Drosophila melanogaster: one gene and its partners. The protein of the gene in region 2 interacts with the protein of the main gene of each other region in a pairwise test. Each region holds a gene or a part of one and is shown on either strand. Other genes may lie near its edges.

Evidence for each region.
Region 1: the proteins of CG18011 (region 2) and Cdk2 interact in a two-hybrid assay, tested with the Drosophila melanogaster proteins (one large-scale study listed by BioGRID).
Region 3: the proteins of CG18011 (region 2) and Hr78 interact in a two-hybrid assay, tested with the Drosophila melanogaster proteins (one large-scale study listed by BioGRID).
Region 4: the proteins of CG18011 (region 2) and cyc interact in a two-hybrid assay, tested with the Drosophila melanogaster proteins (one large-scale study listed by BioGRID).

The regions. Positions count from the first base shown.
Region 1 is NT_033777.3:20,732,889-20,740,396, reverse strand, and holds Cdk2 (Cyclin-dependent kinase 2), read right to left. Parts: upstream 4,775-7,508; 5' UTR 4,701-4,774; coding exon 4,573-4,700; intron 4,475-4,572; exon of another isoform or gene 4,385-4,474; intron 4,307-4,384; coding exon 4,111-4,306; intron 4,057-4,110; coding exon 3,946-4,056; intron 3,887-3,945; coding exon 3,725-3,886; intron 3,666-3,724; coding exon 3,468-3,665; intron 3,413-3,467; coding exon 3,263-3,412; 3' UTR 3,213-3,262; exon of another isoform or gene 3,138-3,212; 3' UTR 3,032-3,137; coding exon of another isoform or gene 2,063-3,031; 3' UTR 1,983-2,062; downstream 1-1,982. UniProt on the Drosophila melanogaster protein: Like Cdk1, could play a key role in the control of the eukaryotic cell cycle.
Region 2 is NT_033778.4:10,139,348-10,147,605, reverse strand, and holds CG18011 (uncharacterized protein), read right to left. Parts: upstream 5,269-8,258; 5' UTR 5,222-5,268; coding exon 4,468-5,221; intron 4,414-4,467; coding exon 4,258-4,413; intron 4,198-4,257; coding exon 3,936-4,197; intron 3,877-3,935; coding exon 3,724-3,876; intron 3,662-3,723; coding exon 3,518-3,661; intron 3,465-3,517; coding exon 3,329-3,464; intron 3,253-3,328; coding exon 2,797-3,252; intron 2,735-2,796; coding exon 2,548-2,734; intron 2,490-2,547; coding exon 2,257-2,489; intron 2,201-2,256; coding exon 1,724-2,200; 3' UTR 1,532-1,723; coding exon of another isoform or gene 1,445-1,531; 3' UTR 1,400-1,444; downstream 1-1,399. Other genes in the region: KCNQ potassium channel, read left to right, coding at 25-121, 194-547, 612-715, 783-898, 1,163-1,377, 1,445-1,531; Or46a (odorant receptor 46a), read right to left, coding at 5,572-5,625, 5,687-6,787.
Region 3 is NT_037436.4:21,492,472-21,500,719, forward strand, and holds Hr78 (Hormone-receptor-like in 78), read right to left. Parts: upstream 5,024-8,248; 5' UTR 4,820-5,023; intron 4,713-4,819; exon of another isoform or gene 4,672-4,712; intron 4,551-4,671; exon of another isoform or gene 4,437-4,550; 5' UTR 4,389-4,436; coding exon 4,349-4,388; exon of another isoform or gene 4,271-4,348; coding exon 3,950-4,270; exon of another isoform or gene 3,922-3,949; intron 3,398-3,921; coding exon 3,128-3,397; intron 3,010-3,127; coding exon 1,835-3,009; 3' UTR 1,548-1,834; downstream 1-1,547. Other genes in the region: CG7202 (uncharacterized protein), read right to left, coding at 106-235; CG7519 (uncharacterized protein), read left to right, coding at 714-725, 777-884, 949-1,311; Glg1 (golgi complex-localized glycoprotein 1), read right to left, coding at 5,744-6,021, 8,087-8,248.
Region 4 is NT_037436.4:19,813,265-19,820,130, forward strand, and holds cyc (cycle), read right to left. Parts: upstream 2,675-6,866; 5' UTR 2,511-2,674; coding exon 2,491-2,510; intron 2,232-2,490; coding exon 2,157-2,231; intron 1,998-2,156; coding exon 1,543-1,997; intron 1,473-1,542; coding exon 1,043-1,472; intron 987-1,042; coding exon 725-986; 3' UTR 506-724; downstream 1-505. Other genes in the region: fibp, read right to left, coding at 2,939-3,017, 3,082-3,267, 3,329-3,397, 3,456-3,556, 3,607-3,739, 3,796-3,903, 3,967-4,285, 4,353-4,431 and 1 more; Deaf1 (deformed epidermal autoregulatory factor-1), read left to right, coding at 5,271-5,402, 5,948-6,746. UniProt on the Drosophila melanogaster protein: Putative transcription factor involved in the generation of biological rhythms. Activates cycling transcription of Period (PER) and Timeless (TIM) by binding to the E-box (5'-CACGTG-3') present in their promoters.

The DNA of each region.
Region 1 (7,508 bases), on a different chromosome or scaffold from region 2:
CGCAGGCACACACGGGGATACACTTGCTCACATTTACACAGGCATTGGGTCTCACTCACGAGCGAAACGAACCGCTGGCTTGGCCCAAAAAAAGCAACTGCCACTTGAACGAGCCTTTTGACTTGTTTTCCTTCGACTTAGGTGGAAACTGTGACAGCAGCGTTTCTGGCGCTAGCTGCCGCTGGCGTTTTTCCAACTCTCCTTTTCTAGAGCACACGACGCGGCCGTCCTGGAAAGCGTCGTTCTCCGTCGTTTCTGGCCAGCAATCTCAAAGTCGACTGAACCGATTACTGAACTGAGCTGCCTTGCAAGTGGCCAAGTCGAAAGCTTTTCCTGTCTCTCCCAGCCTCTCTCTCTGAGCTACGCTTTCCCTCGCTCTCTTCGGTTTGGCAAAGAAAAACACTTGTTAGGAATTTTCTTTGCTCTTTTCTTTTTGCTTTTTGTTTTCGTTTTGCTTTTGTCGTTGCATTTCGCGGCTTCAAAAGGACTCAATAAATTGCTTGCGATTTGGGCTGATAAGGATTTTCACATTTCGTGATTGCCGGAGCAAAAATAAGTTATATTAAGCCAATAATATCGCTTTGCTTCATAGAAAAAAACGACAAAGAGAAATTTATCATGGCCATTTTATATTACTTTTCCAGTTAAGCAACTTCTTGTGTGCATAGATTTTATTTTGTTCTATTTACGTAGTCTAAAGAATATTATATTATTATATTTAAATTAGTATTAGTAAATGTTGTTTGTTTTATGCAACCAATTCAGAATTGATTTAAGGGATTACTACTAAAAACTTTTTGTTTTGGTGTCTCTTGATTGAGCAATCTGTGCAAAAGGTAAAACTTTAATTTATTATTTTAAGGAGCTTAACACAATTTTTTATTTCAAGCAACATCTTTAGAAAGTGTGATATTTCTTTCACATGATTTCCCTTTGACGAAAACATATCATATCTCCATGCTCCAATTTCATCAGTAATAAAATTTGACAAATTTGTCAAATCTATCTAATGTGTCTATTTAGGGCTGCCACCACAATCAGCATAGTTATGCCATAAAAAATAGGAGCTGCCTAGACGGTGCATCCATTAATACACCCATATGTTTATATAGATCGTAAAATCTTGATAAGGAGAAGACCCCATAAGCATAAATTCGTCAGGAGAAAGCATTTCGCAAGCCGACGACTCATCCCAGACAGCTTAGCATAAAATTTCGAAATCAGAACCCGCCAGCAAACGAGTTTTTCAGTCGCAGCCAAGAACTGAATGGCGTATTAATTGTGTAATCTATAAAAATCCATTTACATATGCATGGGCGAGATTGGCAGCTGCCAACGAGCCCCGCGGGAGATATGAAGATGGTCTCCAAATTGGGTTAGTTGGCTTAGTGTCGGCATGAGTTAGGGCCACCAACATGGCCATAGCTTTGGAAATGATCTGGGGCTCGGGACAATGCCATTACAAATCAATTTGGCTAAGACTGTGGCTAACCGTTCTGTGAACCAATAAAAACTAATCCAACGAGCTGGTCAAAAAGACAAAGGCATCACCGTCGAGCTGTTGACCACTGATTTCGCGATTCGGATGAGTTTCAGTTTCCCTTCGACCGGGAACGGTAACGGACGCATTCGAAATACTATATAGTAAGCCCGACGAACATATTGTATACAGCAATGCAGTGGCAATTGTTTACTGCCCTAGTGCTTTTTGTAGCATGGAGTTGTCCTTCGCAAGGAGTAAGGATATCCGCAAACGAGATGGAGCGACGCTTGCCGCAAAAGCAGGCAAAGATTGGGTGAGCAAACGTTGACGACTAACAATGAAGTTTTGATTTTCGACAGATATGACATTTATATAACCACTTTTTGGTATTTTCTGAACCTTATTTAATCCAATAATTCATAGTAGATTATTATTGCATATTATAGATATCACATAAACAATTCAAACAACTATATGCTTATATAGGATACATTTTTTTATAAAACAATTATATTTGAGTTGAAAAAAGTATAACTATGACATTTTAAAGTTAAACTTTGAACGAAATTTTTATTCTAGCTCCAGAAACTATCCCATCGAGTATGTCCTGTTGCCGAGTGCTCGTGGTGGATACAGAAGGCGCTATATTCATAGTCTGGGAAAAGCAGCTCCTACAACAACTGAACGCCCGTTGGTTCGTGTTTGGAATAGCTTCGTCCGCAGTGTTCAGCCCGCTTTCAGTTTCCGTAACCTGACCAATCCGTTGGCCAACTTCTTTAACGATGGCAGTACGAACATCATCGAGACGTCGCCGGTTTATCTGCAGTCCTACGATGAAGATCAGGAGCTGCAGCTTGAGGAACCAGCTCAAGTGGCCTCACAGGCTACCAAAAAACGCAAGCGAAAGCGCCGCAAGCAACAAAAGCGCCGACCGAGCTACGACTCGGCGGAGAACGATGATGCCTACAGCCCTTACGATCCCTACTTTGTGCCACCTTCTCCGCCGCGGTCCGCCGAGCCGATGTTCTTCTACGACACCAATTCCGGTAGCTACTACGGAGTACAGCGCTTCAGTCCTCAGGATTTCCAATCTAATTTTTACGGCAGCTTTTTATTCCGCCGCCTAGGGAGGCAGAGGATGTGGAAGGCGAGCATGAGGAAGAGGCGCCCGTAATGAGAAGACTCGGAACCAGAAAGGTGACCCTACTTCGACCACTGCCCCTATTGTCGGCCAAGGGCCAATCATTGACGAAGCTATTAGAAGTCAGCAAACCGGAGCATCCCATTGAGAATGAAGATGCAGCAGAGGAAACAGACAGCAGCGCACCGAGCGATGCACCGACTAGCGATGACGACGATGGTGATGTCGAAGCCCATTCACCGCTCTCCGAGAGCATGCGCAATACTCTTGGCACGTATATGCGCGACGATAGCCACACCCGCCAGCGCCAGAGACTCGCTAGCGATGCAGCAGGGGCTAACGATTCCGCCGCCAAAGTTTCGCCACGCCATCATCAACGACACCTTGCCCGGCTGAGCTCCTGGTAATCCATGCTAAGCTATAAACTATAAACTCTTTACTTATGGATGATCGTGTATTTATCGTATGTTACGTGCGAGTTAGGATGGGGAATGCATGATAATGAGGTGGCAGCTGTAAAATAGATTAGATATTCAAATAATTTTACTAGTTTCGCCTTAAAGATAGTGAGATAGACATCGAACTTACTATACTAGAAAACACAAGTAATTTGCTAGATCTGGGGCTATTGGACACGATCAGACGAGCCGCGTTAGACGCGAAGCGCTGCCGGCATTGGGATCTACAGGCAGGGCTACATGGTCAACATGCTGCACATTGCGGAAGTAAGCGTGCTGCAGTGCGTCCTTGGCTGAGATGCGCAGGTTGGGATCATAGCACAGCATTGACTGTAAGGTACAGAGTAGTGGATTTCCATTGGGGATGTACATTTTCTGCACTCACCATTATGAGTTCGTGCGCCTCGTGTTCGGTTATGGGTTGTGGCATGTTAGTTCCCTCCCATCTAGGGAACTTGGTCTTAAAGTCTGGCAGCTGCGTCACACCAGGCCAATTTGTTTCATCAGGTGTGCTTAAGGTACGGAAAATCCTATAAAGTTGATCGATCTCGCTGTCTCCAGGAAACAAGGAGCGGCGCATAATCTGTAATTCTAGGTTTAGTAATCAGATCCGCTTGGAATGTACATTCCATATAACACTACCATTTCAGAGAAAATGCAGCCTAGACTCCAGATGTCCACGCCCGTGGAGTAGAATTTCGTGCCCAACAGAATCTCTGGAGCTCGGTACCAGAGGGTGACGACTTCGTGTGTGTACGCCCGCATAGGCACGTTGAAGGCCCTTGCTAGGCCAAAGTCAGCCAACTGGAGTTGGAATTCGTTATTATCACAGAACCAACAGCGGGTAAAACCTTTAGTCTCACCTTTATTTTGCCCGCCGTGTCTACGAGAAGGTTCTGGGGCTTGAGATCGCGATGCAGGATACGATTCGTGTGGCAAAAGCCGACGGCATCTAATATCTGATGCATATAGCTCTGCAAAGTGGCAATGTGAAAATATTTTAATGGGCTGCAAACTAGTGTACTTACCTTTATCAACTGAGGGGTGAACACGTCTTTTTTCTTATCCATCAGCTTCTTTAGATCCATGTTCAGGTACTCGAATATCATGTACAGATTGTTGCCGGAAATGACTACGTCAAATAGTTGGACCACATTTGGGTGCTTAAGGTTCTTCAGCAGGGAGATCTCTCGAATGGCCGTCGAAGGAACACCCTCCGTTTCGCTGTGAATCGGAATTATGCTATTAAATAAAGCTAAATACTGGCAATCGTGATTACCCGTTTGCTAGCAAAAACCGATGATATCCTGTACCACGAAGCCGAATCATGTGGTGCTACGGATTACGGAAACGGCGCAGCTCCCACATAATTCGGGCTGCGGGGTGCAGGTGGATGACATTCGTCAAGGATAATATGTCCATATGTCACATAATATTTCCTATGGTTGCCATGAACAGCATCACAGTCCTGCTCCACCTGGATTACGCACCCTTCTAGCCGAATCTTTTTGAGGGCCACATCCTGGCCGGTGGAGTTGCTACGCGCTTTGTAAACTATACCGTAGGTGCCCTCGCCAATCTTTTCGGCGCGTTGAAAGTTATCTAGAATGGTGGTCATAACCTCGTAAACAATCCTTGAGATCGATGTTGGCAAAATAAACTAATATTTTGGAGGGAAATTCTTCTTCTTTGGTGATGCTAGCCATTCTCATGCAACCGCCGATAAGTCGCACAGCAGCGCCACATATCGATAAGAATTCCTTAATCGATTGTTCTGCGATGTGACAGCTCTAAGGTTGACTACCCCTATTTTAAATGTATTGTTTTCTTCTTTGCACAAAACTTTTAAAATAAAAAATAAAATTAACCGTTGAGACCCGTTAATGCCTATCACAGTTGGATCAAGACATTTAAAATTGATAAATAAAGTTAAAGCAAAAATCGTATTTATGCAGTTTCTTAATGGTTTCTAAATTTACTCTTTTAACTAATTAAATATATGTTTTTAATGAAATGTGACGTTCGTTTAATACGTTGATTCTCGCCTCTATCCAATTAATGTAGGGTGCGATGTACATGAAAAGATCTGCTCCTGAAAAAACCGAATCAAATTTGGCCAAGAGCTGCCGGATAATATAGTACTGTCTCGGTTCCCCATTTACTAGGCGAACTCCTGCCAGGATAGCGTCTGGATGCAAAGGAGCTCCGCGGATGGTCCTTCCAAAGACACTAGAATAAGGGTCTTTGGTCCTTCCATCCACGCAGAGAGCTGGCGCTAGGCCACGACGCGGATTGAGCAGTACGACGGTGCAGCGATAGCAGGTGGTAAATTGATTTCCATCCCTGAAGAGTATACGTCCCAGCCAAGGATGCTCATCCTGTTCCGCGAATGTTTTGTCGTTGTAAAGCTGATTTTCCAACGGTCTTCCACAGCGCTGAACTTCAGTGATTATACCAGTGGCTTATAAGTATAAATAAAGAAAATTGGTAGATAAGCATAATAAAGTAATTGGGTTACATCACTTACGCATAACCAGTATAACCAGTAGAACCTCGCTTACTGTCATCTCGCTCACAACAAAGTATTTTCCGATCGAGGAAATCACAATGATTTTGCACACTGAGAACAATAACCTCTTGCAGATAAAGTGTGAAGGTGTTTCTTATTGTCGCAATGCAATCTACTTTTCCAACAGGTATTTAGTTAAGTATGTACATACAATATGTGTGAAGAGGACTCTTTAACTTTGAATGAAACTTTGTTCTGAATTTAATGATTAGTAAATGCCATTTATCTACTATTTTCAATCATTTTTACATTTCTTCCGGACACTTAGTTATAGACTAAGATGGTTCCCAATCCAATTATTGGTATCTTGTGGTTTCTTTCGTACTGGCCGTGCGTTGATATTCACAAAAGATGCCAAGCTTCAGATCCATCTACAATTTTCATCCCAAATAGAGCTGCACCAGTTAGGAAATCTTTATCCTGGTGTACGCACGCACTCGTGACTCTGGCCAGGGTATGAAGGCTTTTCGGATGCTTATCCACCAGCGTACTGACCACATTGAATAGTCGGGCGATCACGTCATGGGAATCTGTATCCTCCGATACAGACAAACAGGATCTCAGTTGGGAGTTCAGTTTAAGGACGGCAACATCGTAAGACGGAACGATACTCTGGGTGAATAAAAAAGGCGACTTCTGTTTCCAAACATAAAGCTGTAGGCATCGCCCTTATCCAGGAATATAACACAGTGAGCAGGCACAAGGACATGGTTACGGCCACTCCGGAGCAGGGATACCACACCCAACCAGCTGACCTGGTGTACCTAATCCTGCCCAGCCAGTTGAATTGCTCTCGACTATCTTCTCGGTTTACTGGTCTTGCACTCGATCATTTTCTTGAACTGCTGGCCAGAGGAGAAGGGTCTTTGAGAATAAAGGCGGGGATCAGCGAGATTTAAATGCAATGCCTACTTCCTAGAGTCATTAACGATAATGTGACCAAAATAGCAGCCAATTTGAATGAGAGCATATCGCCATGCATTCCGTTTAGCATTGTGGTATGTTAAAATGTTGGGCTACAACTGAGTTAATTCCGGAGTGCGAGATTTGCCATGTAATTGCGGACCCTTATCGTTTAAAAAGACATTCCGTGCATTTTATGTGCGTTGCATTTAAAATTGTAATTGTAATTGCTTGTGGCAGGCGCACGCAATTCGCTTACACTCCACTCCATCTTGTCTCAATTTGTGTTTTACGTGTTGCAATAAAAAAAGTGCCATAAAAATCCGTATTTTAATTTGCTTTCGCCTCTGCGTTTATTTTTCGCGTGCTTAGGCTCTAGCTGTGAATGTTTTTGGCGCGCACATTTATGGCACATTAATCATTCCGGGCCACGGGCCGTATGCTTGATGACGACCTCACCGAATCCTTCAGCCACTTCGATCGGTACTCATGTCGCTCCGATATCGAAAATTAGACATGATTCATTGGCACTGTAAACCTTGCAGCCGAGTGCTTCGATTACGAGTACTTCGCATTTCATTTCAATGAATTTATGACTGCAGCTTCTCCAGAATTACCATATTCCATGGCTGCCACTCGATAAGGTTGCTCTACTGCACCGGTTGAGATGAAAGCAAGTGGCTTGAGAACATAAATTATTTGCAGTTGATGTGTACTTAAGGCTTTTGGCGCCAGCCAAGTGTCGAAAAACTGCATTTCCCCAAAAAACAGAAGGAGTGCGCGCTTGCCTAATGGCAAAAGTTTGGGGCCAATGTGAATTGAATTCCGTGCGGAGGACAACCCAATAGCGAGGACTACCCACTGTGTTTTGGGGCTTCGCGTGATTTATGCATTTGGGTTTGGGTCAGGAGTCGGCAACTTTGCGCAAATAACCCGAAAGCGCTCTCAATTTTT
Region 2 (8,258 bases):
AATTAACACAAAACTTGTGCGCAGCTTGGATCAAATCCTAGGCAAACAAGGGTCCAAGGCCAAGGATGTATATGCATCCAAAATAAGCCTAGCCTCCCGCGTGGTTAAAGTCGAGAGGCAGGTGAGCTACAATCTAAAAAGAAAAACATTAAAACAATGGTATAGTTAATTAATTTTCCCCGACTTATATTAGGTTGCTGATATCGAAGAGAAGCTAGACATTCTGATTAAAGCTTACATGGAGGATCGTGATAGATTCCTGGCTCTTCCGCTGCCAGCCAAGCCCAAAATACATTCCATTAGTCCTAGCCACAAGCCCCTGCACCACGCCCACAACCTGGCGATGATCGACGTGTGGAAACGGACCGCGGCGCTCAGTGTCCATCCGGAGCAGGTGACCACCACACCCTTGCTGAATCCCTCGGCGCCGGACAGCTCCGAGCTGCGATCCCTGACAGCCACGCAAACGCCTACCACCACAACCGATGCGATCGCCACACAAACCCCCATGCCGCCGCATGTGCAGCATACAGCGACCAATACAAAGGTATTACCGCAGTCTAATTAATTCCATTGGAAGTATGTGATGCAAATTTAACCACTTTGTACAGTCTTCCGTGCTTAACTCATATCAGTTGGGGTCTGAGAAGCAGCAGCACAATGATGTTTTTATGACTGAATTAGAGAATAGAACCAAAAAACGTGTTACGTTAAGGTGTGTTCTGAAATAAACAAATATTTACATTTACATATAACCAGTATAAACATCCGAAAACCTGCAGCCTTCATAGATCAACATCGGAGCCGTATAGCAAGCAGGAGCAACGGATCACTATACCCGATGAGGGAGCTGATTCCCTGGACAGCAGTGCAAAGCCAACGCCGCCAGATAGTTCAAGTAACTAAAAATTAGATCTATTCTATTTATAGTATTATTTTCGTAAAAGTTTTAGACTACTTGCCTAGCGAATGGGAACATAAATAAAACGTTAAATCATTATATTGGCTTTTTTTGTTTCTATATTTTTTTAATTTCCTTTTTATAACTATGAATTAAATGTATATCGACAGATTAGAGAATTCTTATTTTAAAAAATATGATACGTGTTGTGAAAGCATTTAAAAGTTAGATTATTCTAAACACAAACTATCTCCCATTTAGTTATATTAATCGATGAGTACGAGGACTTCGAGGAGGAGGATCTTAACTGTGAGGGTGAAATGGATCATTTCCCCACTTGGGAGATCGACAGTGATATTGGCGTAGAAGTCGATGTGGACGCGGATGCCGATGGCGACTGTGATGAGTCCACCGAGGACACGGCGCTGCTGCAGTGTGCCACGCGCACCGCCATTGTTATAACACCAATTAGCCCAGTAAGTCTTGGAAGATTTGTTTCATTTCGTTAAGAATCTTTTTAAAACAAGTTAATAACAATTTCAGGTAAGCTCCGCACACAATCTTCAGCAATTAAATGACCAAACTACAACGCTTAATAAATCAAATTTGCTTCCGCCAGACTCTGGCTAGTTAATTGCAATTGAAATTAGCTAAAGTAGCCATTACATTATCACTAGAATTATATATTATATACTATGGAATGCATATTAATGTCATTTTGGGACATCATTTGTGTTCAATTAATTGGTAGCAAACAAATGAAAATCAAACTAAATAAATCTGTTTTAGCAGCAAATCTTACATTACCGAAATGTACCAGCCTTAATTCTGTGTGTCCTCATCTGGTATCTCGTCAATAAAATCGTCCGCCTCCTCGTCATCATCTTCCATCACTATGTCATCCCCATCTGCTTCCTCTATAAACTCATTATTTTCATTTAGGCGGCGCTTTTTAGATGTGGATGGCGCATCATCGGTGATGTATTCGTCCTCCTCAACCACATCCTCCTGGAGCAAAATGATGCCATCGTGAATCTTTCGGACATGCACATTCAACTGGGAACTGTTTACAAAAGTCCGTCCACAGCCGCCGTCGAAATAGTCGCGGCACGTGTATTTATCACCATGGGCTCGCTGCATGTGCGTCTTCAATCCTTGACTGCGTCCAAACCTCTTTTTACACACGTTGCACTCGAACGCGAATCGCTTGTAGTGCTGACCAAGAACATGAACAGAAAGGGACTTTTTGTTCCTGGTGGTGAAACTGCACTGTTCGCAGCTGTAAGACTGCCCATGAAGCTGCAGGAAATATGCTATTAATATGAACCGTTTGTGGATCCGTCTACTGCACTGACCTTTTGATGAGCTTCCATTTCACTCTTGTGATAAAAGCCCTTTTGACAGACACTGCAGGAATAGCGCTTCTTATTCGAATGCACCACATTGACATGAGTGTCATAATTTCGTCGGTTTTTGACGATTTTAAAGCACTCAGGACACTCTATTGGTTCATGCCAATAGGCATGGTGCTTGGCCAGAGCATCATGGCTTTTGTACGAAGAATTGCATAACGGACAAGTGACGTTGTCTTAAATATAAAATTATTTATTAAAAGAAGAACATATTATAAAGCACACCATACTTACCATTGTTATGACTCCTTGCCACATGAACAGACAAGGACATCTTTGACCGGCATTCCTTTAAGCAAAACTGGCAAACCCATTCCTGGGCAGACTTTGAACTCTTCTCGGCCTGCTTGCTCGCGGATTCGTGTGTGCGCCGCTTGTGTGTGTACAAGGAGTTCCAGTTCACGTAAGACTCTGTGCAGTTCTGAAAGGAGAGGAAATAATGTTATGATCAAACGTTCTGTGACCAAACGCAGGACAACTCACTTCCTGGTCGCACATGTAGTAAACACATATTTCTAGCCTGCGATGTGTTGAGTCCGATCGAAGTTGTTGATAGTTGCGCAGGTGATGGCGATAAAGTTTCATATGTGGGAATTCTTTGCCGCAGGGCTGACACAAAAACACTCCATCTTTATGTACCCCGGAATCGCGATGGGCTTGAAGACAGTCCTTTTCCTTGAAGTACGAGGAACAGTACTCGCACACATAAGCATCCCGTAGGAGTTCCACGTCTATCTTCGAGCCAAAACAGGCTGTCTTCACGGAATTTACATGGGCTAGGAGGGTTTCGCGGCTATCACTTAATAGACCGCAGGTGCTGCACACGTGCACATCTTTTTCGATGATCAGATGCTTCTTCATGTGAATATTGTAAGTAGCTTCGGTGGCAAATTCCCGGGAACAAAGTTCACAGCTTATTACACTGCCGTGCATGGCTCTCTGAAAGAAGGATTTCAATTACTTCCTGTACCACAAAGCGTATTCGAAGGATTTGATGTTTAGATTCATGCCCTACCATGTGTCCATTTAGCCGGCCCCGCGACTCAAAGTTGGCCATACATTCGCTGCAAGAGTAGGTCGTGCTGCTAACATTGGCATGCGACTTATTGTGCTCCATAAAAACGGAGGGGTCCCGGAAAGTGCGGTCGCAACTAGGGGATAAATAATTAATATAAATGTCTTAACAAGCATTTGTAATACTAACAGGTCGCAGAATAAGGTGCCCACTGGCTCATGAGAATAATTTAAATGCTGAAAAAGTTCATCTATGTTCGTGGTGGCATAGTCACAGACGAAGCAAGCTCTTGGTCTGTGCTTTTCTAAGTGAAACTGGCTGTGGAAATTAAAACTGTAAAGAAATATAAGTATTATTAGTATTGGTTTGGTTAACTTTAGAGAGAATAAACATACCGCTTCCAGGAAGGAAACTCCAGCGAACACATTTCACAATAAGAGCGAAAACCTCGCTTCTTTTTTATTACATGCGCGCAAGAATGCTTGTTGTACTGCAGAATGTTGGAGAACGTCAATTTACATTCCGGACAGCTGCCGTAGATCGGAATTCTAGGTAATACAAGCATCATATATATTACACAAATATTTCCTTTAGTAAATATAATTACTCAGCCACTGGCGCGTGCAACAAAACAAGATGCATGGCTAGGAATTTGCGACCTTTCAACTCCTTGTTGCATCCTTCGATGGGACACTCGTAGACATCTCTCCGGCTTTTGTGTGCCTTTGACAAGTGACTAAAAAGGCTCTCGAATGTGGGACATTTCAGAGAGCAGTGCTTGCACACAGTGCACCACTGAAATGTCAGCTTTTCAAAGCTCGTCTTCACCACGGTGGCCAAGTACTCCGGAATATTATCAACTTCATCCTCTGTAAATGTAAAGATATGTAGAATTGTGATTGCCTTTTAGTTTTTGATATTATACCCACTCTCTTTGATGTCCACAAAGTTAAACAGAACAACATTGCTAGTCTCTCCCTCGTCGATGTCATCATCGCTTTGACTTTCCTCAGCTTGAGCTACCAATCTAGACGAACAACTTATGGGTTTTACCTTAACATTGTCCAAATTTGGATCCATAACATCTAGAACAATTTAAGTGTTACTTAATGGACGGAAAAGGTAAAATTAAAACAAACCCTCATGCTCGTATATGTAAACATTCTCATCCGGATTGGTGTCTGTCACAGCCTCGCTGTTTAGGATGACTATTTGGCCAGGGGCTTCTGTTTCCTCTGTGACCTGGACAGCTTCACTGGACTCCTCTTTCACTGCGGTCTCATCCTCAACAACAGCTTCCTCTTCGTCCAGAATATTTTGTATAAGCACACTAAAATGTTCCTGATCTGCTACTTTAGAAACCAGTTTTGGCTCACTTTTGGAAACAGCATCTTCGGTGGAAGGCGTCTCTGGTGGCTCTGGAGATCTAGATGTATCAGGCGTTACATTGGAAGCAGCAGCCGCTCTATTCCTTATCCGGGCACTCGGTTCCCGGGTGGGAATAATGGGCACTGGTCGCAGAACCTTAGTCAGGGGCCTTGAAGGCACTGTTTTCTTGGCTGGTTTCGCAGCTGGTGGAGTTGCCTGGACCTCGGTAATAATAATGGGGTCCTCCTCTGCCTTGGAATCTTTGCCCTGGGCCGCATCCTTCGCAGCTTCCCGTTCTCTTTCCAGTTCATCGATGTCAAAGAGGCGAATGAGATTGGTGACACACACTTCGCACAGGAGTTGCTGCTTCTGCGGATCGGGCGACACTTCGAGCTGGTAATGCCTGGACAGCAGGGACTGCAGTCCCAGTTCGATTCCAAACTCATCGAAGATCTCCTGGTACTGGTATTTCGTACTGAATACGCTGCAATGCAGGCAGCTATTGTTTTTCGCGTTTTCCGACATCTTAATCTTTGTCCGTCAGCAAATTGTAGGCGTTATGGCATTTCTGGTTTGTTTTTTAGTGTTACCTTTCCGTACCAGCAGCTGTCTGGTATTTTCCGCAGTGTGACTGTCTTGCGCAGATTTCTAAAACCGTTACCACGATTTGAAAATAGTGTGAAAATAAATAGGCATAAAAAGTAAATAAAAGATTTAGGAAACCCCAAGGAAAGAAGACACAATTAGTTTTTCGAACTATATAATAAGCAACTGCTAATTTCTACACAATAATTTCATTTAATGTACGTGCATAACGTTTTGAGTGCTTTTAAAAATCGGCTTGAAAATCTTTAGGTGCTGCGGTGTTTCGAAATTTAACTGTTGACGCGCTTCAGCAGTGCGAAGTAGCTGTAGGAGCAGTTGACGATCTGAAAGGAGAAGAGCATAACCAGTAATAAATGATATATAAAGGAATTTCTGCTGCCCTACAGAACCAAAGGCCTCCAAGCTGAAAGCAAAGGTGGGGTTAAAGGTGCTCAGGAGCATCGGGGAATTAAAGCGCTGCATCATGAGAAGGACAATCCGGCGGTTTGCCCTGTTCCATCCCGTCCATTGGGAGCTGTAGATGCTGTGACACAACCTAGAGCTCTGGACAGTTACCTCGTTGGAGGCGTAGCAAATGATGAAGATCTGCCAGAGCATCACCAGCTGATAGATACAGGTCTTGAGCATAAAGATGGCATCGCCGTTTGCAATGGACATGGTGGACATGTCGTACAGGTTGGACACCAGCACCAGAACAGAACACATGAGCTGCACAGATCCTGGCCCCTTTATGAACAGCTCCACCAGGTCCTTGAAACGAACAATCCTGTTGTAGTAGGCGGCACACTCACGCAGTTCCATTGCGATTTTCTCATTATCCTGGGGTTCGATCACAGGACCCAACTTTTCTAATCGCAGGACCAGCATTTGTAGCTGAACCTTCAAGAAACAGAGCAACGAGTAGGCCACCGAGTCGTAGGTTATATTCAGCACACAAGTGGGCAGCAGGCAAATCGAGTGGAAAAGGTACTGCGACCAATAGCAGATCCATCCCTCGATGCTGCATACCTCCAACATGGCCAGTGGTAGCTCGCCAAAGTTGTCGAAACAGGGAACTATAAGGATCAGGGAAGCCGCGCCCAGGGACATGATGCCGTAGGAGTTCCTCATGCGGACAACCGCCACTCTATCCAATTCCAGCATCTGCATTTCCTGTTCACTTTTAACGCCGAACTCTGGGGACAACATCGCATCAACCAAGCCAGCGAGTTTGCGGCTCTTCAACTTCAAATGCAATAATTTGGCCATGCAGGATATTTCCGTGGCGAACATGAAGAATACCTTTAGGATCTCCCTAACTTGGGAAATGTTGTTCAACATTTCGAAGGAGAAAAGCAGCAGCATGATGAACAGGATGACCAGGATGAAGCCAAACCTCATGGACTGAAAACGACGCTGGTGGTCTGCGGCCCAAGTGGGGAGCTGCCAAACACCAAGGATTTGGAAGTACCACACCTGGTACTTATAAAAGTCCTCCGTAACCATCTGATGCTGAGACATGCTGACAATTTTCACTTTTCCATCATGAACCGCACGAGGAAAGCCTTTTATAGGCCACGAACTTAAATTCGCTAATGAGCCTCATTATGGAAATTGGCTACAGTGCACAAAAAAGTCAAAACACGGAAAGAACTCACCGAGCTGAAGAGCATTAAGTCAAAACCAAGACTTGGATTAAGTGTCCTAATCCTCAAGGTCGAGTGAAGGCGTTGCATAAAGAGGAGCGCAATCCTTCGGCTCCTGTAGTCCCAGTCCACCCAGGAGGTCTTGTACAGCTCGTGCGGAAGGTCCAGGCTGCGCTGGGTTACCTCACTGACGATGAAATTCATTACTGGCCTGGGGAGGCATTTCGGATATGGAATACCCACCCGGCATAGTAGCACAATATAAAAATCTGAATCAACATGCACGCCTGATAGGTCACATACTTAAAGAGCTCCAGCCTCTCGTCAGATAACTACAATTATGTATATAGGGAAAACAAATTAAGACCATTGTTTTTCTAGAAAGCATTTATGATAGTCTTCTTGTTGCGAATTCACAGCTCACCACAGCAATGGCATAGAAATTGGCAGTCAGCACCAAAACCGAGCAGAAGATCTGCACCGAAATCGGCTTGCAAAGTAGACGCTCCACGGTTTTCGACAGTTCAACGATGGTCATGTGATAGCGGATATTTTCCTTAAGTTGCTGTTCCACAGTGCCACCAGAAGTAGTGATTAACCGACCGATCTTGTCCAGTCGCACGGCCAGAATGTCCAGCTGGCACTTGAGGAAGATGAACAGTGAGGAGCAGAGTGAGTCGAATCCTATGTTGGTGATGCAGGATACGGACAAGGCCAGACACTGATAGCAGTAGAGGAGCCAATAAGCAGGTGAGCCGGTATTCTCGCCAAGCGGATTGTATGTTTTGAGCGGAAGGTGGGACCAGTCCAAGGCGAACTGGGGTATGAGAATCATGCTCAAGGCGGCAAACGAAAGCGCTCCATAGAAGTCCCGAAGCTTCCTACTTCTTTCACAGGCTGCTGCAAAGATCAACTCTTCGTTGGCGCCTCTAGGACGGAACTCTTCGTTATCCAATCTCCTAAAGAGCTCCTCCATCTGCACATTGTTCGCCTTTATGGACAGCAGCTTGGTGGTGTGCCCTGCACTGGTGGCCAGGATAAAGATGGCTTTCACAACCTCGGACATGTAGCTCAAATTAGCCATCACATGGAGCACCAAGAGGAGATCAAAGAGCAGCACCCAAAACACAATTACGTGGACATAGTTCACCTGGTGGATGATTCTCCACCGGCGTTCTATCTGAGGCCACAACGAGAGGATGTTCAAGAATGCCTTCTGGCCCTTGTAAAAGATTTCTACTCCTTTGCTCATTTCACGTCCAGATTTTTCCAGAACTTAAGATTAATTGATTCGTTCAAGTGTTTATAAGGCTTCTGAACGGCATTTAAAA
Region 3 (8,248 bases), on a different chromosome or scaffold from region 2:
GCTTTAAAAGGATCACTTTTAAGAGTGATTAAAAAATCATAAGTGTAGTGTTGGATTCAACCACCATTTCTTCACTTAACTCAAAACAACAATGGACATCCTCACCTGTGTATAATTCGACTCGGAAATCAGAGGAGAGCCGCGTCTGGACCTGGACGAAGTGCTGGAAGCAGAGAACGGCCCAGGCCACGAAGGCCAAGGCAGCCAGGAACAAGAAACTTATGCATTCGAACATGATTCCCGAAATTTTGTTGTGTGCTGATAACGTGTGTAGTTATAAAAACAGCTTTCGAACAAGTCGGGCCTCGTGTGGAAAATAAAGAAATATCGGACACTAAAATCAAAGCGAATAAGATTGTAAAAGGACTCTGTTTCTTTCGGTTTCTTTTTAATTTCTTGAAATCTTAAAAAAGCTATTAGAATTTCAACTTATTTATTTTAAAGAAATTTCTTTTTTTTTTTGATGTTTTAAGATATTTGATTTGAAACAATTTTATTCCAAATTAATTTTCGACTGTTTGGTACAACAATGCATATCAATTACTTAAATTTATTTATTTAATTTTGAATTCAATATTGTCTTCGGTATTTGTACGACATTGTACGTTATTCATCCCGACTTGCGGCTGGTCACACTGCGCTAAACAAAGTACGAAACGTGATTTTTCGTTTCAATAATTTTTAAAGTAAATAAGCAACCTTGTCCAAATAAAATGGAGATGATGGTATGTAGTGGCTAAAAGAAATTAACCGATTCTGATTAATGGACTTGTTAGCATGGAGCGTCGCTGCTGTCGCGGCCAGCGGAGGAATTTGGCAACGACACCCTGGTGGAGGAAATGTGGGCCGCAAAAGCTCTGGAACACGCCGAGGTGCACTTTAATGTGAGTACACTTTGAACGATGTTAAGGAATGGTAGTTGACACTGCTTCATCGTATTCCCGGCAGCTCATCACCAGCGTCCATCCCTCCCAGCTGAAGCTCACGCCCTACGACGACCAGATATACGCCACTTTCCGGCAGGATTTTCCCGATCTTCACGTTGGCCGGCTTACCGATGATATTCTCAAATCCGCCACGGCGAAGCTCAAGTGGCGCCAGTTCGCCGAGAAGTTTAACAAGTTGGACGATTACTCGTATGGCACCCTGATGCGCGCCGATGCCAGCAGGGAATTCTCCCCGGACAACTCTATCTTCGTGTTTCGCGTCCAGTTTCTGGCCATCGAGATTGCCCGGAATCGGGAGGGACTCAACGATGAGGCTTACGAGAAGCACAAGCCCGCCAGAAAGGTACCCGAAGAGGAACAGTAATCCCTCGCTCTAGCTTAGATTAAGTTGTAAAGACTGGATGCATATTTAGCTGCAGTTCGTCTATCTACTTTAGTAAACAATCAAATTATTTTTATACAAAAAATAAAAATATAACGACCGCCTTTAAATTGTTCCCTACACGTTGCCATTTCTTGACTTTGTATTCTGCTTTCTGCCAATCTGTGGGATGAGATCCACATCTTTAATAAAAATTAGATTAACATTTGATCAAAGTTGTGTTGTAATAATCTAATGTATACATCTCAAAGTTCTGATGCAAACATTCTGTTTAAAAACATATTCGCTTTTATTGGGAAATCGATTCCATTTTATCTGTGAACAACAATAAACCCATGGTTTTATGTTAGAATATTGTATCCTAAACTATATATTGTATATATTAAATATATAATTAATGGGATTTGCCTAGTTGCTACATGTATTGCCCGCACTTGGTCCATCTTCAGTCTTGCTTTTGGGCAGTCTAGCGAATCTGCTTGCGCCCTGTTCTTCTCAATTCCGCCTACAGTCCACTGGTGTTGCTGGTCATCAGTATGAACGGAATAAGAGCATCCATCTGCATCTGCCCCACCAAGTTGGCGAAGAACAGCTCCTCCATGGCCTCTGCGTCCAGGCTGCTGAGCGGAAGAAGGCGAGCCACCAGAACATTAAAGCGCTCCTCGCCGCCGCCGATGCCACCCTGCCTTCTCAAACTTGACAGAGCGTAGAGTTGGACTCTGCGGACGTAGCCTCGCAACGACCGCTCCTTGCGCTGCTGCAAGAGCGTTGGATTGAAGAGCAAGATCAGACGCAGCAAGCCAAACTCCATATCAGTAACATCCAGTGACTGGAGCTCCTGGACAAAGTCGTGCAGGGTCCTGGTGAGATTTGCCATCTTCGAGATCTTCAACGGTTCGATCTTATCGATATCCGCTAGCTGGCGAGTGCTTTGAATAAACTGCCCGATAATGGTGGGCACCGAAAGCTGACCCTGACACTGCGCCAAAGCTATAGCCATTAATGCTGGCCACACTCCTCTCAGGAGTTTCACCTGTGTATGGGCTTCCAATTGTTCGAAAACTGGAACCTTTCGAAGGGTATGGATGGTGAGAAAAATGATTCGCGAGCCCGTCTCACACACATAATGAATATTTAAATACGAGTGGACCAAAGTCGGCGGTTGCACATGAAAGGCACACTGCACATCGGTGAGAAGATCCTGTTCAAAGACCGCCTCATTGATAGCAAAATCGCTTCCACCGCTTCGGTTCCCACCGCACTCAAAGTCTAGTTCCATGTGCTCCAGCTCCGCGTCTACGGCATCCTCGGTGCCACTGTCCTCCGCCTCTGAATCGCACTCGGGCTTCACACTCAGATTACCATTTCGCTCCAGTTGGTTTTGGATGGGCTGCAGGATCTGCAGTCCCTTGTGGATGACCCGCATGTCCAGCGAACTCTGAATAAGCCCCATTGTCGAGGTGGTAGGCAGAGCGGTGGGTACTTCCCCAGCATTAAAGTTCAGGTGCTGCGAGTTGTTGTTGCTGGCGCTGTTGGCGAGCAACTGCAAGCACAGCGTGCTGCTGTTGTCCATTGAGTCGTCCTCGTCATCCTCGGGATCTGCCTTCGGAATATCTGGCGAATAGCTACCACTCTGTTGATGCTGTTGCTGTTGTTGCTGCTGCTGTTGGGTAGCGAACACTGCAAAGTCAATAGGAGATTATTAATGGTGAATTCGTTTAAAAGAAGTTAAATATGGATCAATCATGGCAGTTAAGTATATATGACCAACCAGAATGTAAATCAAAGTTCAACTTACTCAATGTCTGCGTTAGTTCTGCGAAATTCAAACCCATCGGGAATATATTCTCATTCAAATTGAAGGCCGTTGCTGGCGCGCTGTGCACTGGAGGCGTGGCCGCGGATTCGGCCTTTACACTGTGCCCCTTGCCACGCCCCTGCTGATAGCCGGACTTGCCGGATAGGTAGGTGGACGAGCCATTACCGCCGCCAGAAGTGGATGAGCTACCGGCAGCAGCGATGATCCCCTCCTTCCTGTCCACAATCGGTTTCCTCTCGTGCTGCACAGCTGTGAACAAAAGTTGATGAGAACGGAAGGCAATTAATTAGAGCGAGAAGTGAGGTGAGGATGCGGTTTGATGATTTTCAAAGCGAGGTGATGGTGAGTAAGTGGGTGAATTGGTTAATGTTCGTGCAGGCTGGGAATCTTTTGTGCCTCCGCCGCTGCAGTTTTAAGATGTGCAAGTTACTGAAGTGGATATTCACGTTACAGAAGCAAACACTGGGATGCAATTAGATTCACGTGATTACTTGGTGTAAAATGCACTTCACAGACGAAAATTGAATTGAATTCAATTGAAATTGAACTTTCTCTAGATTAGACTATTTATCTTTGAGTCCAATTCGAATTGGAGATCATCCAACCAGTTCTTGATTAAGCTCTGGGAAACTGAGTTCCTGTGAATCGATAACGTTTCATTACTTGTCAGAGTTAAATGCTACATATATGATATCTCCTAATTTCTACAATGCAATTCTGCTAAAGCCTGCTGGAGCACGTAGACTCTGGCCAGGCCAGAGATTGGTTATAGCTTGAGACGACGACTTAAACGAAAATTACAATCACTTCGCATGCCGCTGGCCAGGCACTTCTGTAGTCGACAGAACTGGCACCGATTCCTGTGGTGCTTGGTGACCTCGCAGTTCATAGCCCCGCGACACTGGTAGCCCAGCTGCTTCCGGATCGAGCGCTTGAAGAATCCCTTGCAGCCTTCGCAGCTTATGGCTCCGTAGTGCCGCCCGGAGGCGCGGTCCCCGCACACCAAACACAGCTCCACGCTCAACGTTGCGGATGCTCCGGCTCCCATTCCCACGCCGCCTCCTGGCAGAGGAGTGCCGCCTGAGGCACTGCCTCCTCCGATCAAGGGCATCGCTCGGTTTTCTGCAAGGTCAGAGGGCAATGGCAACAGTCGCGTTAGAATGGGCTCCAAGGTGGCATGGCTCGGGTGATTGGACTCACCTTCGCTTTTGATGAACGTCTCAACCTTAACGCCGTCCATTGTCGCCACAGCAGGCGGCTAAAAAATAGTCGTCGGCTGTATAAATAACTGAAACCCAAACATCTTCACATATGTAATTTAAATTTTACTTGCAATATAAAGTAGAGAAGAGATAAATATGGAGTGTGTCTAGAATAAAGGAATTACGAGCCGAAAAGAGAGGTATGAGGTGGTTAATTCTATCACAAAATATATTTATATAGTAGATAATAATAATAATAATAATAAATGTATTATAATATATTATATTGATGTTTTCAAAAAATAAATCATTGAATTTTACGCAATATAAAACACCGTTGCTGCTGCCAACAAAAGTGCTACTATTTTGGACGCAGCTGTAGCTAACGTAGCCAGAGCTATTTTAATAGAACCTGTTTTGGCTGCATCTGTGTGGGTGCCTGTGATGTGAATGAATTGGTCTTGCTTACTTGGCTCTTTGAAAATTCTTATTGGACGTCTGTTATCACCATTCTTGAGCTTTTAAAAACATCTATTTTTCGAGGCACTTGGTTAAAGTTATGTTACTTCCGGTCAGTTACGATATTTTCAGGCACTTTGTGCCTATTTTGAACCTTTTCTAACGCAATAAAATCTCCTTGTTCCAATTCACTTGCGAGCAGTGTGACCGCAGTTGGGCTCTTTCAACATACCATCCGGTCCCATATACTAAAAAAAGGCAGCTCATTGTGCAAATATACCAAAACACCTGTAGAGCTACAGTTCGTTGAAATTGTAATTTTTAACGTAAAACAAAGGATAATAATAGAATTACTAATATCAATAATAACAAAGGCGTGTCTAGGGTACAAATTAGAGTCAAGCTTAATCAATTAACACAAATTTTAATTCTCATAAGCCCACAAGGACATAATATTAAATTTTATACTTTGAGTTACCTTGGCTATTTGATTAAATTGATAAGCCTATCCCAAGTTTTTACTTAACTTTTGTACTCAAAACTAGGCGCTCTGCCGTATTAGCGCTCTGGTATTGATCCAAAGAGAAACATCTGTTGATGCCTTCCATGTGGATATAGTTAAAAAGAAGGGGCTTTTGTTTACAAAAATACAATTTAATATACAAGTGAAATTGTTACAAAAAAGCTATAACGAAAAGAGCCCTAAGAATGGAACTAGTATATTTGATTGTGTTCTCCTTTCTCGCGTATTTTTTGGTCTTACAAACGACTAAGCCACAAATTGCTCACACAAATATCGAAAGGCAGACAGGGTTGAGTGAAAGTATACTTCTGGGTTTCGGAATGGGGTCATGGATGGGCCGAAATGGAAATCAGCAAGCTCACAAACATGCACACTCCGCCTACACAGTGCCACTACAGTCTAATATTTCAATTATTTATTCTTTAAGCCCATTGCCCGTTTGGTGGCCCGTCCCAGGAAGATGCCGGTGAGGAAGACCAGGCCCGTGGCGCTCATTAGTATCACAAGGAAGAATTTCCGCGCCGGAGAGGCGACGACTTGTTGCACTAGCTGCTGCACATCCTCGGGCGGAAGCGCCAACGTGTCGTCTGCGTTCCTGAACATCTCTATGCGTCGCTGCAGCTTTTCTCGGCAGTCCGCCTCTAACGAGTTCGGCGTATCCTTCAGCAGCGTCCTTAAGCAATTAAGTTCTAGAACATAGAGAGAAAAACATTAATTATTATATTTATAACCACACCAACCACACACACACACACACACACACACACACACACACACACACACACACACACACACACACACACACACACACACACACACACACACACACACACACACACACACACACACACACACACACCCCCCTGCACCAAAAAGGAATGTTCAAGAAATTTCATAATTTGCTGCCTATCACGTAACTTCCCGTTGTTTATTTACACTATGTACTGTTCTTATTCTCTTAGTCAATCTGCCTCCAATTATATCGATCTGCTTCAAATACATAAGCTGTTTGATAGGTGCTTTCACTAAGAGTTTCCAGTGTAGGAAGAGGAATTCTACTATCTGCCCCCCCTGGCTGATGGCCTGGCCAAAGACCCTAGAATAACAAGATGCGTAACGCCATACGATTTTTTGGCACACGATTTTTTGGCCGTGGCTCTAGAGGTGGCTCCAGGCTCTCTCGAATTTTTGTTAGAGAGCGAGAGAGCGAAGAGCGCTACAGCGAACCGCTCTTTTCTACGCATACAGTGATAGCAGACAACTTTATGTGTGCACACGTATGCTCATGCATTGTAAATTTGACAAAATATGCCCTTCACCTTAGAAGTTCTTTGGCTTTAAATCTATATTATTTTTGATCAATTGGCACCATGCGAAAAATTCTTGTTTTGCATTGCCTTAACGTTATTATTATTTGAAAATAGATTAGAAATAGTCAAATCTATGTACATATTATCACAAAAATAAATTTCAAAAATGACTTTATATAAGAATATTTGTCATTAGAGTATTCATCTTGCGGCGTGTGAAAAATTAATAAGGCAATGATTGTTGAGTCAAAGACCCTAGAATAACAAGATGCGTAACGCCATACGATTTTTTGGCACACGATTTTTTGGCCGTGGCTCTAGAGGTGGCTCCAGGCTCTCTCGAATTTTTGTTAGAGAGCGAGAGAGCGAAGAGCGCTACAGCGAACAGCTCTTTTCAACGCACAAAGTGATAGCAGACATCTGTATGTGTGCACACGAATTCACATGCATTGTAAATTTGACAAAATATGCCCTTCACCTTAGAAGTTCTTTGGCTTTAAATCTATATTATTTTTGATCAATTGGCACCATGCGAAAAATTCTTGTTTTGCATTGCCTTAACGTTATTATTATTTGAAAATAGATTAGAAATAGTCAAATCTATGTACATATTATCACAAAAATATATTTCAAAAATGACTTTATATAAGAATATTTGTCATTAGAGTATTCATCTTGCGGCGTGTGAAAAATTAATAAGGCAATGATTGTTGAGTGCTTGTGTCCGCACTTCGTGCCTCAAGATATGAACAAAGCAAAGACACTAGAATAATTCTATTGTCTTTGATATTACTTTTGCAATTTAATTTAATTGCATATTTAATTATTTAGTATATTTATTAAATCATTTGACTTAATATGATGTAACATTAACATTAAAAGTGTTTCAAAAAAAATATTTCGCTTTTAAAAAATTTTCAGATGAGAGACAAATTAGAATTAAACATAAATATAAATGTGTAAACGGTAGCTAATTCGAGCGGCGATTTTAACAAACAAATTTAAAAAGCTTTAAAATTATAATAGTCAGGGCGCGAATTTTTTAAATTTTTTTTATTTTATCATATTGCTAGGAAATTGGCAAAAACTACCCTAATATGTACAATGTAAATTCGTTTCTTCGATCAGAATTGATTTCGGCCCGAAAATCGTCTTCTAGCACAACACGCACACTTATACGCGTTCTCGTCTCTTGTTTTTACTCACACAAGCAAGCAAATTATATTTTTAGATTTCTTACGCTCTCAGCGGGAGTGAGCCGAAAGAGAGTAATTTTGGCCGTCACCAAAAAAGTGGCTGCATAGTGCCAAACCAATGTATGGCCGTTACGCATCTTGTTATTCTAGTGTCTTTGGCCTGGCGACGCCCTTGGATGCTAAGAATAACTATCAACTTTCTGTTCAATGGGGAACTAACTAATATGTCGTATATTATTTTAACTCACTGCGTCCATTGCCAGCTGCCACTTTGGAACAGTATCTCAGCAGATCGACCGTGCACGCCGTTTCAAGAATGGGATCAACGTGAATGTCTGCCTTGGCTTCGGCGATCAGAGTGGCCACCTCCATCTGGCACTGCCGGTTGATGATCTGCTTCTGCAGGAAGG
Region 4 (6,866 bases), on a different chromosome or scaffold from region 2:
CAATAAAACGTTCACTGGTTGGGAAGCCAAGGTGTCAGAGCGTCCGTATGCCACGCCAGCTCTATGCCAACTGATTCCGAACCCGAATCCAGCGAGCGAGAGAGCCAGAGGCATGCCCATACCCATACCCATGCCAGACCTATACCCAGACCCAGACAAACCCACGCGCCTGGGCTGCCGCCTTTTCATGTGGGTCTATTGATAGTGCAAGCAAAAAAGTTGAGTGAAACGAAAAACGGGCGAAAAAGCCCGTCTCAGTTGATAAATCAAACACACACATGTCCGTACATATGTACATATGTACACATGATCCACACCATTTACCACAAGTAGTTATGTGCCCGAAGAAATTCGAGCAGCGATCACGTCCAAAACGTGCTCGGCTAAGAACTATTTGTTGTTTGTAATCGAAGGCGACCGCTCTTCTCGACAATTCCAATCGCCAGAGAGCTATGTTGAAACCTTGATGGGGTAAAACTAGATTGTTCCCACGATAGCAAATGTTCTTATCTAAGCGAATCTCTTTTCAAGTTGTTAGTTAATTTAATTGAGGCGGTACAAAAATGATGGGCTTATCATTAGGTAAAGTTTGTATATCGAATATGGAATTTCAAACGCCGGCGCCAGCAACTCGATGCGGATGAAGATCTTTGGAGTGTATACAAATGTCGGATTGTAGTGGAATAAATAAAAGTAATGTTCCCCATCGGAACGTTCGTATGCCTTATAAGAACACGGAATTCTTGGCGATTATATAGTCAATCTCGCTCGTCCAGGGATTCTTGAAGGCCCGCCACTCGCTCTGCAGCTGAATGTAGCTGTTGTCCTTGCACCGGAAGCGGTAGACCTGAGTGGTCACCTTTTCCGGCACCTGCATCACCATCTTGTGAGACTCCATCAGCGCAGCGATGTCTTCGTTGTGGAAGTACTCGTAGAAGCTGGTGCCGAGGATCTCCTGAGGCAGGAAACCAATCACGAGGGTGGCACTGCCAAATAATTTAAGTCGAATCATCAGAAAATTAATGCCCATAATCGTACCTACCGCTGGTCTATGAACAGGAACTTGCCCTCGCCGGAGTGGCGCGAGATGAAGAGCACGTGCCGTATGTTCGGGTGATTGTCCAGCGAGGCGGGTACTGTGGAGTTGCGAACGTTGGGCGGAATGCGACCAATTGCCACAAGGCAGGATAGATTCGTTGTTTGCTCGTCGCTGTCGGCGTCCTGGTCCTCGTCCTTGATGGGTGTCCAGGACTTGAGGTAGCCCGTGCACTGGATAACCCGGTACTTGTGGCCCGTAGTCAGTCTGGACTTGCGCTTCGTGGAGCTCCGGGAGCTGGAGGACGTATCGGACTCCTCCTTGATCTGGTTGTTGCTGGCAGTGCGCAGCTTCATGCGGCAGAAGAAGGAGCGCCGGGCACCCGGACACAGGCGGCACAAGCTCTGTGGAACGTCGGTCTTAACGGGCAACATGGCTGCAGGTGATAACGCAAGGAGAAAACTTAAGTGACGTACTGAATCTCACACTTTCGCATGGCCACTTACTCTTCGCATCGATAAGCCTTTCCCTGGGACACTGTTCCAGTGAGGATAGCTGCTCCTTAACCTTGCCTATGTCCTTCGGATGCAGGACGTCGAACCAGCTCTGTCCCAGCAGGTCCGCTTGGGTGCTGTTCAGCACACTGGACACCGAATCGGAAACGTACAGGATGCGTCCTCGGTCACAACCCACCACGAACAGGAATCCCTCCGACGCTTGCAGGATAATCATCTTGAGCTCCTGGTCGGACAGGAAGCTAGGCCGGTAATCGGATCCGTTGAATGGATGTAAGCTGCCGCTGCCACGGATCCCTCGCAGATGCTGCACTGCCATCCGGAGCACAGTCAGTTTGTCCAGCTTTCGCTGCATCGCAAAGCACATGGGAATCATGGAGGAGAGCTCGTTGATGTACGTGTTCATCTTGTCCCGACGCCGCTTCTCGATCTCGCTGTGATTTTGCCTAATTAAAATAAATGATATAACGTTAAAATTATAAATGCATATGGATGCAGGAATCTGATTGAAAAGACCAATTAACTTTTCCGAAATAATCATTATTAGTCTTGAAGTCGAATAAATGGATATGGAATTAGTTAAGCCTGAATAATGTTTTCCGTACTTGCGATTTTCATCCGAGGTTCTAGCTGACTTCTCCTCGTCGTAGTTTTCATCTTCGATCTCCTCCATATTTTCGCTAAATCGAAAACAACAAATGGTGAATTAGAAAACAACCCCGATATTTAATCAACCAGTGTGGATTTCCCGTGTAACGGGCGTCAACTGTTGCTTCCTCTTCCCTTCACACCCACACGCACACCTGGCCAACTTGTATGAGCGTGTGTGTGCTCGTTTTCGCGATTGTGCGTTCGTGTGGGTGCTTAACGCACACACTTACAGCTCGTTTTTATGCAATGTGTATGTAATTTGCAATGCACTTTTCCAGTGAAACTCACCAGAACTCCTGAACTTCCATCGCCAATCGGTGACGTTTGCTTATGAAAAATTAAGCCCTTTCCGACGAAGACCTCCCTTTTGTTTGTTTACTAACATCGACTAGCATCAACGTCCCAATAATAACATTTAAAACGGAAGTTTGTGCAGGCCGACAATTTGTTGCAAGCTTTTCCTGCATCTTCAGCTTCGAAGCTGCAGTGTGAACGTGGCTGCAAAATATACCAGCAACTTTCGGAAGAATACCAAGGGAAACAAGCTTTTCGCTTAAAAATACCATTTGGCGCCAATTAACAACGGTATTTAAATATTTAAATATGAAACTCATATGAATCAATTTTCATTATTTTACTTTGGCTAGACAATCTGAGTAAAAATCAACACAAGTCGAAACAAACACAAACAAACAATTAAATACTATTTATATTTGATCCTTAGTTTAATCACATCTTAAATGTGATACATTTTATCCAAGCATATCGTTATGACCTGCATATAGCGATCCCAAAGACATCTGGTTTCTTGGTCCCTGCAAAACATTTAGAGTTGATTATCAAAAAAGTTACTTGATTAATCTAGACAAAAGTACCCACCTTGATATTTCCAGATCCAAAACGCTTTGCGTTATGGAAGCCAAAAATTTATTCACTTGCTCACGGTTCCAGCCATTCTGACGCCAAGGATCAATAAGCTTCTCACAGAGATCGACGAAAAGATCGCGCAGCTCCCGATTGCGATGCAAATTGCAGGCGATGGTGATCAGGGCGCGCCAGTAAGAACTGCAAATCAAAACAGATCAATAGTAAGAAAAGGTGATAATGTCGAGAAATAAGTCCTTACCGAAAGTTGCCATCCAGTTCGTGAAAGGCGCGCTCGAGAAGAACGGGTTTGAGGCGCATGCAGACGAGGCTAAATGCAAGGACTAAACTATATAATAGCTCGTGTGCGGTAGAAAAATAAATCTCACTGCTTAATCTCCTTTTCCTTGTCGAGTAGACAGCGCAACTCCCGCAGGTCCAAGAGAAACTCTTTGTCCATTTCGGTATCATAGTACTCCGGTCCAGTGTGCTGCATTTAGTAAATTAGTTTCGTAAGGAATTAGCAGAGCTAAGTCATACCTGGTAAGTATACGTCCAGTAGATCATGATGGCATGGGAGCAGGTCAACAAATCACTGAAGCTCAGGTATTGCAACTTTTTTTTGGTGGTTTCGAAACGCAGGCAGGCCAGGAAAACAATGCAGGCGTACTTTCTGTAAGAGTGAAAGGTTTAGCTTTTTGAAGTTCAATACATTGATTATATTCATACTTGGCTAGATCGGTGGATATGATGAAGTGTTGCTTGATGTTGTTGGTTAACGTGCCCGGCATTTCCTCGACTGCCTTAAAAATGCGTTTTACGTTGTCAAATTGTCGGCTGAAGAAGAAGTTGAAATATATTAGACTCTACTCTGCCTAAGTAGCGGCCAAATTTACCCACCGAACTGATTTTAGCTTGACGCACGTCTTCTCGGCCACCTCGTCGAGGTCCTTGCGGTAGCGGGACGACAGCTTCTTGCCAAGAATTTCGCGAGCCACCACATCATCGATGGAATAGTACTTCTCGGTGATAAGGTCACGCATTTGTGGCTCCAGCTGGAAGCAGGATTGCTCCATCAGTTTGGTGGGTGCGTTTAGGTATAGTTCAATCAGGGAATAGGTGCGGTAATGATCCAGTACATCCGATGCAATCAGGTCGCTGGGAGCGCCCATGGAGTGACCAAAACCCTTCTGTTTCAGATAGGACACCGCCTCGCTGGCTATAATTGTAAATCGATGGAGCCGTTTGACATGAAACAAGATTGCAATTGGGAGAAGAAAACTTACAGGAGAAGCCTTCGATCCATAGCTGGTAAATTTCTGGATCGATGATTGTATAATTACTTATAAACACATCCACATCGGCCTGTAAGCATTCAGTTTTACTATTTATTATTATTTTGGATCATCAGATAGTTACCATTATATTGCTAGAGTGACCGTTTTCTGAACTAGCTGTCCAATTGGATATATCGAAATGTATGTTAGAGATGAAACACTGTGTAGTTCCAACACAAGCAGCATAGTTTATTCTTCTCATGAATTTAAAACTTTTCCTTGAAAGTAATAAATCGTTCTTGTTTTCATAACATCAATATATCCTATTAATAAACAAGCGAAAATGTTTAGAGTAATAATGGTAAAACCAAATTCGGTGTGATTTTGAGTTTTAAGATCAAGTCATAAGGAAATCTTTAAAATTGTAATTCTCAGAAATCTTAATTTAATATGCAAGATATATAGCTGTAAACTTTCCGATATTTAAAAACCAGAGATGGGGCACAGATAGCGAGCACGAATCACGACTATCGATAGTGCCGATAGCGGGCGATAGCTGCAACGCGCATGACAACTCTAGTTATCATGAGGAAGAAGAGGAGGATATCAACTTTTTTAGTAAATTAGTAAAGTTTAAGCTTAAAAAATGTAAATTGCAATGAACCACCAGCTGTAAATAGGGCAATGCAACTTGAACGCGACCTGCGCGCAATTCGCATGTAAGTCGTGGTGAGCGCTGAAAAAAACGCGGATCGCGGCGGCAGCAACAACAACAACAACAACAGACCGTCCGTCGTCTCGGTAGACGTCGAATAATATACATATATCGCAATAATCCAATTGCAAGTGGTAATCCGATGAACAATTCAAGTGCATTACTATCGTTGGACCGCAGAATAAGTGAAAGTGAACTGGCATAACAATACTATGGAACAGGTTGACTCCTCCACCGAGCTGCACCTGAATAGGAAAGATCTGGCCGCGCTGGCCGAGGATGTTGTGAAAGAAGAGGTGATATTAGAAAGCTCCAGCCATCACCATCATCATCATCACCACCAGGTAAGAAAAAGGAGCAACAAACGGCTGCGTAAGGAGCCCATTTGGTTTTGGATTTTCCATTCGCTTCTCCTTTGGCGGGGTGGTTTTGGTTCCGGACTGTGTGTTTGGTTCAGGTTCTATCTATTGAATCCGAAACCGAATCTGGCTCGAAAACCGCTCCGCTTCGCTCTGCGCAGTTGTGGAAAGTGGGTGGTGGGTGGTTGGGCTAGGTGGCCTGGGGGTGGCGCAACTTGCGCCCTACGGAACGCTCCGTGCGACCCACTGGGCCACAGGCATTCCCCGCTCGCCTTCTCGCCTCCATCCACTCCCAATTTGCCTCCTCCTCCTCGTTTTCCCCCTCCACCCACCGCATTTGTGGCGCACAAATGTTGTGTATACCGATTTTCATTTTTCCCATGCTGTGTTGTTTACTTACATTCGAATTTTCATTCCCGATTCCTGTGCAAATCGCATTGAATTAAATCGCAAACGCCATCAATTGGCCGCTGGACACTCACCCACATACATGTGACGAACGTGGGAATATGTGCGCTATGGTAATGCAGTTGGACACCAAGGTTCGCATGGTCACATCCTCCTCCAACGACAACAGTGGTAGCGGCGGCGCCAGTGGCGGTACAAGCGGAGCGGGCGGAGGAAACGGCGGTGGCGGTGTGGTTTCGGTGCCCGTATCCCTGCCCATCGGTTCGATGATAACCGGCACTACCTTCAATGTGATCACGCCCGACCAGCTGCCCCCTCACTTCAAGCCGATGCTGTGCGTCGACAACAATGGCTACCTGTCCGGCAGCACGGTCAGCATGGGCAACGACCTCAAGACGATCGTCATCCAGCAACAGCAGACGCAACCAGGCGGCGGCGGTGGCGGCGCCAATAATGCGGGCACCAATACGACCGCCACAAATACGATTGGACTGAATCACGATGGCTCCGGGAGCAACAATAGCCACGACAGCCTGGCCACCTTGGAGCACGCCGCGGGCGGAGCGAGTGGCGTCGGCGGTGGCGGCGGCGGAACGGGTGGTGGCTCCTCGGGATGGTCGGAGAACCCGTCAACCCAGCACAATGAGGTCTTCCAGATCCGCTGCAAAACCACCTGCGCCGAGTTATACCGCAGCAAGCTGGGCTCCGGCGGCCGTGGACGCTGTGTGAAGTACAAGGACAAGTGGCATACGCCCAGTGAGTTTGAGCATGTGTGTGGCCGGGGCTCCAGCAAGGATTGGAAGCGTTCGATCAAGTACGGCGGCAAATCGCTGCAGTCCCTCATCGATGAGGGTACGCTCACGCCGCACGCGACCAACTGCAGCTGCACCGTCTGCTGCGACGACGAAGCAGGTGAGTCAGGTGAGACGAACAACAATTACTACACACTCCCCCCTTCTGCATGGCGCACCGAGTTGACCTGGTCATCGGTCCGTCATGGTGTCCCAGGTGCAGGACTCGCGCACAAACCGAATTCATAAC